Sus scrofa: one gene and its partner. The main gene of each other region encodes a partner of the protein of the gene in region 2 in a complex. Links are inferred from orthologs where the notes say so. Each region holds a gene or a part of one and is shown on either strand. Other genes may lie near its edges.

Region 1 (3,356 bases), on a different chromosome or scaffold from region 2:
TCCCTTTTATTTGAATAGCTTTCCACTGTTCAGAGAGCTTTTGCAGTTATGCTATTGTTTTCCTCACAACAAGCCTGTGAGGTAGTTTTGTTTATTCCTACTTTAGAGCTGGGGAGAGTGTAGCACGGAGACCTTTTGTGGGCTTGCCTATGGTTACACAGTTCACTAATGGCCAACTCCATAAACTCTAGTATAGAGTCCCGGCTTATAGATCTGGGCCAGAATCCTTATGCTCTACTGTGCCTTTTCCTGCCAGCCATGAAAGCTGTTCCACCTAGTTTAAAATTCATGTCAGTTTCACTATATATATCACTTATCACAGTAGTTACCTACAAAAGGGAAAAACATACATAAATCTATCTTATAGAAAAGGTGAAAACTTTTATGTATACCAACAAAGGTCATGCTCACACATTTTCCCTCAGTCATGTGTTACTGGTATCCATCTGATGGACTGAGTATCCGAGCAGATCTTCATTTTAAGAGAACTGGTCCCAATTCCTACGTGTTTATGCCATCTAACTTAAAAAAAAAAAAAAATCAACAAAGACAGTCTGAACTATGGAAGCATTCAGAATGATTACCACGCCTTAAGCCTGTAGGATGTCAGACAAAGGAATAAATCTATTTCGCATGATTCCTCTCTCACAACATTCTCATGCATGACAATATTTCTAAAACAAAACAGCCAAGCAAGGTCATTTTAAGAACAGTCCTCTGAAACTTCAAATATCCTTGCACATGCTTTATTTCCTATGGGAGAAGTGAAGATGAAAACTAATCATAAATGTTTAGAACTTTCACTTGAAAGCATCAACTTTTTGAAAGGTTATATTTCAAAATCCTACTGGTTACTCTCTTTTAACCTTGTCATCCTCTCAAAATTCTTGACCAACTGCATTCTATATTTATTCCCTATTACATTTTGTTTTTCAACGCAAGCTCTTCAAATTAATCACTATAGTCTTACTAAAACTGCACAGAAACTTTAGGAAGCAAATTTCACAGAATCATAGAAAGCAAGCTGTATATGTAAACTTTTTTTTTTCTTTTTACTAAATCAGCATAACTGACTAAAGCTGCAGCATTTTGCTTTCATGTTACATTTGGCAAAATCAAAACAAAAAGCACCCCCCAAAGCCCCCAGATAACAAAAATCTCAAGCAAGTAGAGATGTCAAACTTCATAACACAAAATAAGATTCAAAACCTGTTCCCTCAATGATCACTGTTGTCAATTTGGGCATGCAGCAAATTTATTTTTATAACCATGATGGAAATGAAAATATTAAGAATCTGGATGGTATCCTATTTAACACTAATTCAAAAACTAGGAAGAGGAAGGAAAAATAACAAGACATCACACATAAACACCAAAAGTTAGCTTACGTAATTAGAAAAAGTTAAAAATAAATTAGTAAAAATAAATTCCCAGTAAAAACCCAAAAAGCATAGCTATAAATACAATCTGAAACAACCAATTTAGGGAGCTGGTCATGTTTTTGCTGGAGAACCTTGTCCACTCTAGTTCTTACACAAGCAAATAACTGTGGAGAAGCAGGCCAAAGTGCATAATAAGAGGGTTTCAATGTGTTGTACCTGTGGTACTTGAGATACAACTTTTCCTTAATCACTTGAAAGGTTAAACAGACTTAAACAGACTCAGAAGGGCCAAATAAGTCATCTGGTATGCTACTGAATGGCTGAGAGTCTATTAGTTGGGTTATTTCATTATCTAGGTCTTCTTCTGTATCATCTGTATACTTGCTTATTTTTTTGGAGTGCTGATCTAGAGAGAGACTTTCTAAAGATTCGACATCTTCAATGCCTGCTCTATAGTGGATCATGAGAAGTGTTAGAGCTTGCAGTCTTTCACCTGATTTAGCCAAAGCCGCAGAAAGAATTGATTTTTTCCTCGAATCAGTTGTCTCTTTTTCTTCTCTAACAAGGGAATTGTTATGTTCCAACTCCTGATCAATTTCATTCTGCAGTTTATCTAGCATGAACTCTAGTTTCTGGATCCTCTCCTCCGTAGGCAAGCCCCTGTACAGATCACGACCGATTTCTTTAACAGCAATGAAAACACTGTCATCCAGACCACCCTCCTTTCTCACTAACTTTATTCCTGTGTTGTTGCCCCGCTTAGAGGGACTGTTTGGACCACAGACCTCTGTGTCGCTGCCTTCGTTGTCTGATGTGTTGGGTGTGTGTTTTGGTGAAGGTTCTACTAGATCAGTTCCTGGCTCAGAAAGGCGAGTTTTAGAGACTTGACGCAGATTTAACAAACGAGAGCTTGTATTGATAATATGTCTTGTCAAACCTGTTGTTCTGTTGACTGACTTGCCAGCTTCAGCATCAACACGAGGGGGCAGACCTAAGAGGGTTTCTTGTCCTTCCAGCCTGAGGTTTTTCAGGGCTCTGTCTATCCGCTGGTCAGTTGCTCCACAAAGAGGAGTCTCGGCTAGACACTTTTCCTGACATTTTTTATGGCAAACATAAGCACAGAACATACACTGGGAGGCAGCTTTAGTCCAAACTTTCTTCTTACAGTAATCACACCAAGTTGGGTTCTGGAACTGAGTATCTTGGAAACTATGCTTATTTTCTGTCAAACCCGTCTGTCCAACAAAGTGCTCCTCTTTAGTCAGGGCAGAAACCTCTTCGACCAAATGGAGTTCTTTTTCTTTCTCTAAGTTAGTAACTACATGGTGCTCTGGCTCTCCTTCTTTCAAATACTTGAAGTGAACAGTAATATCCCCGAAGCAAAATGTGTCATTGAATCCCTTTTGTACACTCAGGTTGCGTAGAGCGGTTCTTGTGACCATGGCCTTAGGTGATGGGGCTTCCAGTCTGAATTTGGAAAGGTATTCCATGTTTGATGTGGCTAAGCATCCCAAAGCCACCTCTTCAAGTTTCAAACTAACATGCCCCAAGCAGATGAGACCCCCTAATTTGAAAGGATCCCTGCACCACAGTGCAATGTTTAAGTACCTGTGGCAGGCTTCTATGTCAAAAGAACAGCTAGCTCTGGTTCTTGTCCATTTTCCTAGCTTATTACGATAAGGAATTTCTGATGATTCCCACGTTTGAGGGTCATCTGAGCTGTCCTTAGGAGGGCAAGAACTTTCTGAAGTCAAATCTTTTGCCACTTCCTGCTTTGCTAAAAACTGTTTAGCGGCAGTGGCTTCTTCCACGTGATCCAGATTTTTCACTTGCTTTTCAGCAGGTTTATCTGTAAGAGGTGGTGGCAAAGTCACCTTCTCTGGTTTTTCAACAGGAATATCTAGTTCTGCCTGATTTGGGGTGTCAGCAGAAGGCAAAGGAATTTTGACTTGCGGTCGTGGTGGCACAGGTGGT
Region 2 (3,816 bases):
ACCAGGAAAAGGAACCTAAAGAGGGCCCTCTAGAGGCCCAACTTCAACAGCTGCAAAGGTGCCGGTCAGACAAGGGCAGCCTTAGCTGACCTCCCCATTGCCCTCCACCACTGAAGTTACTGACCAACAAATCCTTCCTGAAAGCTTTAGCAGAACGTGTCATTACTGTCCCAGATAATGACAGCTAGGAGAGAAGGGTAAGGAAAAGACAGGCAGGGGCTGAGACCCACCTGCTTCAGCGCGTTCCGAGCGATCGTCTGGAAGGCTTGCTCCACATTGATGGCCTCCTTGGCGCTGGTCTCAAAGTAGGGAATGTTGTTTTTGCTGTAGCACCAGGCCTGCGCCCGCTTCGTGGCCACCTAGAAGGAGAGGCATGTGTGCTCAAGACAGGGCTGCCCGGCATGGCTGCTATCCTGCCCAGAAGGGCCGTGGTCCCCGTCCACAGGAGATGCTGGCTATGTGCCCACTGCCACCCTGGCTACAGCCATAGCTCCCAGTAAACACGCAGCAGCCCATGAAGAAAAGCCTCATCTCCTGTGGAACCTTGGGGGGTCTGCAGCTTGGGAAACACCTGGAGGCTTGGTTGTCAGGCCTGAAGCCCTTTCCCTGTCACCACCGGTTATATCACCTGTGCCACATCCCTAAGGGCCCAAATCCTGCAGCTCCCACCCCACCTCCAACCCATTCTCCGCATGAAAGGAGAACTAGGTTACTGAGGGAAGATGGGAAAGCCGAGCTCTAATTAAGACATACTCTCTGTCCCCAGGGAGATGCTACTTGAAGGTAAACCAGAGCAATCTTACTCAAAGCCTCAGGGACCTTTTGTATGCGTGGAGACCTAGGCAGGCCCTGAAGACAACAATATCTAATCCCCTCCTGGGGATGGGGGAACGAGGTGCAGAGGCACAGGCAGTAGGTCAGAGTCAGCCAGGGACAGCGTGGGGATGTAAGCCGGTCTCCTGGCCCTGGTCCTCAGAGGCAGCTGGCGTGGAGGCAGTGCACCCCCAGCACTCCAGGCTCGGCATAGAACGTGCCAAACTCACAAAAGCCCCTCAGAAGCAGGTGGCTCTCAAAGAACACGAAAGTGACAGCGGTCCCCAGAATGTTCCTCCTGGCCAGCAGCTCTCAGCACCATCTCCAGGTCAGAAGACTCCGGCCAGATGACAGAGCCCACTCGAGAAGCATCCCCCACTTAGCAATCGTGACGTGGACTGCAGATCAGGTCTGCCTCTAAGTTCCAGAGACTGAATCCCACATGGCCTTAAGTCACATCACTTCCCTTAGGCCAGGAGGGACAGCCAGTATGGGCAAGTCCAGAATGGACTCGCTCCTCTGTGGGCATAACTTGAAAGGGAATGCCACTGCACCCCCCTGCCAGGGGGCCAAGACCTTTCCAAGGTCAGGAAGCCTGGGGCTGGGCAGGCAGGTAACTAGGTGGTGGTCCCGCCCCTGCCCCACAAGGGGGCGCACCCAGCCCAACAGATCCTTGAGGCACCTGGCTTTTTGCTAAGCAAATCTAAAAACTGTACCAGTCACCCAAAAAGTAGCTGCCACTTTTTAAAGAAAGCCTTTTCACGATTTAGGGGCTATAATCTAAATGCCTTCCACCACCTTCAGCACTCACCTGTCTGTTTTCGAGGTCGATCTTGTTTCCCAACACAACAAAGGGGAAGTTTTCGGGATCCCGGGGACTGGCCTGGATGAGAAACTCATCTCTCCAGCTATCCAGGGTTTTGAATGTGTTGGGGGCAGTCACATCAAACACCAGAACGCAGCAGTCTGCGCCTCTGTAGAAGGCCACGCCAAGAGACTGGAACCGTTCCTGTCCGGCTGTGTCCCAGATCTGGGGAGACAAAAGGCTTATTCGTGGGGCATGTGGGAAAACTCGGCATTCCAGGGACCAGCACTTTGGGATTCGGGAAGCAGATGTCAGCACCAGCCTGTCCGAAATACCCGACCAACAGCAGGTATGTGTGCCTGAGCCCCTGCCTCACCGCCCCCCGACCCCCAAGTCTGGAGGTGCTGGGAGAGTTTTCATCTTGATCCAGGTGGTCACATGGGTGGATATTTATGTAAAATCTGCACTATAAACAAGATGTACCCCATGGGAACTTTCTGGGGGTGATGAAATATGGAGAAGGGATTATTCACTGAATTGTACATTTAAATCTATGTATTTTACTGTATGTAAAGCTGACCTGTTAAAGAAAATCAGTGTGTTTTATCTACATTACACCTCAAATAACAAACAAAACAAAAGTGCCAAGAGAGACAGATACAGACAGACAGAGATAAGCACAAACACACAGGTAAGAGACGGACATGGGGAGAGGTAGAGACAGGGACACACAAAGAGACAGAGAGAGAGACCTAAATACACAGAGATGGGGAGACAGTAAGGGGAAAAGGCAAGGAGATCACCACAGAACAGATGAAGGTCACTTCTGATCAAAGGAGCCCCAGGTGCTGCTGACCAGCTCAAGGAACTCCCATCATTTGTTGTCATTCAAGGTTCAAGAGCAAGGGTGGATTTCATCAATGCCCCAGATCCCAACAGTACCCAGTCGGCCTGGAGAGATAGCCAATGTTCCCAGGAAGGTCCCCAGAGCCCATCAACAGTGAGCCATAGGGTCTGAGGCTGAGGGCAGTATCTTCCAGCTGATAGGGTCTTCAAGTGGTGGATCCAGTGTCCATTTGCAGGAAACCACTGGGCTTCAGAACTACACGAGAATCTGGACCATTCTCATAACCCAAATAAACTCCACCTTTAATGTCCAGATCAGCAGCCAACTATCCAAAGGCCCAAGGTTTAGACCAAAATGGACTGCAGACTGCGCAGCTACACTTGAACCTCCAGAACCATGTTCTGCAAAAGGAGGGCTGCACTCCTCTGGGAAGCCCCTCTCAGGCAGCCAGCCCTGCCTCCCAAGACCCAGAGCACTTGGGGACATGTTAGCTGCCCACCCTGGCCACACACAGACTGACCTTACAGTTCAGGCAGAAAGAGCCTCATCGTATAAAAGGAGGCCATGGCGCTGGGTCAGAGGGTGTGTATCCGGAGCAGGGCAGGAAGTCCAACAGGACTGTGCTACAGGGCTGACATTTCCCTGTTACCAAGCTCATGACACCTAAAGCCCACAACACCTCCCAAGATGCTCTCCAGGAGTCCTGAGACGGTGCGCTAACCCAGAAGGCTGGTCTGTCCTTGGGGACTGGTTCAAACAGCACCATGGCAAACGGGCACAGAGCCCAAACATAAGTGCCATCTGGAAAGCTGGGAGTGGCAGCTTCCGAAGCCCTAGAGGCAGTTCCAATAAAGCAGACAGACCACACGGGCCAAGCTACACTCAGAGTGCATGCTGGGAGGGGCTGTGTGTCACTGCCCTCTGAGGAGGGCAGTGCTGAGAAGGCCACTGAGCCTTTCTCTCCAGCACACGTGACCTTCCGCACTCAGCGCATGGCGACATGGCCAATGCTGGGTCACACACTTGGTAGCAGGGAGCCAGCCCCTGGCAGCCCATACCCTTTCCGGGAAATACTGACCAATACATGCTCTAAGTGCTCTGGGAAGGACCTCCCCAGTGGCCATGGGAAGTCAGACTGCAGGAGTGGAGTCAGGAGCTGCTGTGAATGCCCACGTGTGGCAGAAGTGCCGAGACCCCAGGTAAAGGAAGCAGCCCCTAGGAACCAGGGGAAGTGACTGCAGGGTGATGAGCAACACAAGAAAATGCAGCCCAGGAGCAGCAGGCACTTACACTGCCCGGCTCCCACAATGAGCAAAGTACCCATATGCAGGCAAAACAGGGTGTCTAGGGA

Evidence for each region.
Region 1: the proteins of RAB7A (region 2) and PDZD8 are in contact, whole or in part, in a crystal structure (PDB 7F6J), measured with the Homo sapiens proteins. The link is inferred for Sus scrofa from reciprocal best matches to the Homo sapiens genes RAB7A and PDZD8. Residues at the interface, in NP_004628.4 of Homo sapiens: Lys10, Leu14, Asp16, Ser17, Lys38, Ile41, Gly42, Ala43, Asp44, Phe45, Gln60, Trp62, Gly66, Glu68, Arg69, Phe70, Gln71, Ser72, Leu73, Gly74, Val75, Ala76, Phe77, Tyr78, Arg79, Thr98, Ser101, Trp102, Glu105, Phe106; in NP_776152.1 of Homo sapiens: Ile999, Lys1000, Leu1001, Val1002, Arg1003, Lys1004, Glu1005, Gly1007, Leu1008, Asp1009, Asp1010, Phe1013, Ile1014, Lys1017, Gln1044, Leu1051, Asn1054, Asn1055, Val1058, Leu1077, Leu1084, Gln1085, Thr1088, Ile1092.

Annotation. Positions count from the first base shown.
Region 1 is NC_010456.5:127,398,350-127,401,705, forward strand, and holds part of PDZD8 (PDZ domain-containing protein 8), read right to left. Parts: coding exon 1,652-3,356; 3' UTR 1-1,651. UniProt on the Homo sapiens protein: Molecular tethering protein that connects endoplasmic reticulum and mitochondria membranes. PDZD8-dependent endoplasmic reticulum-mitochondria membrane tethering is essential for endoplasmic reticulum-mitochondria Ca(2+) transfer.
Region 2 is NC_010455.5:71,782,046-71,785,861, forward strand, and holds part of RAB7A (ras-related protein Rab-7a), read right to left. Parts: intron 1,844-3,816; coding exon 1,625-1,843; intron 360-1,624; coding exon 231-359; intron 1-230.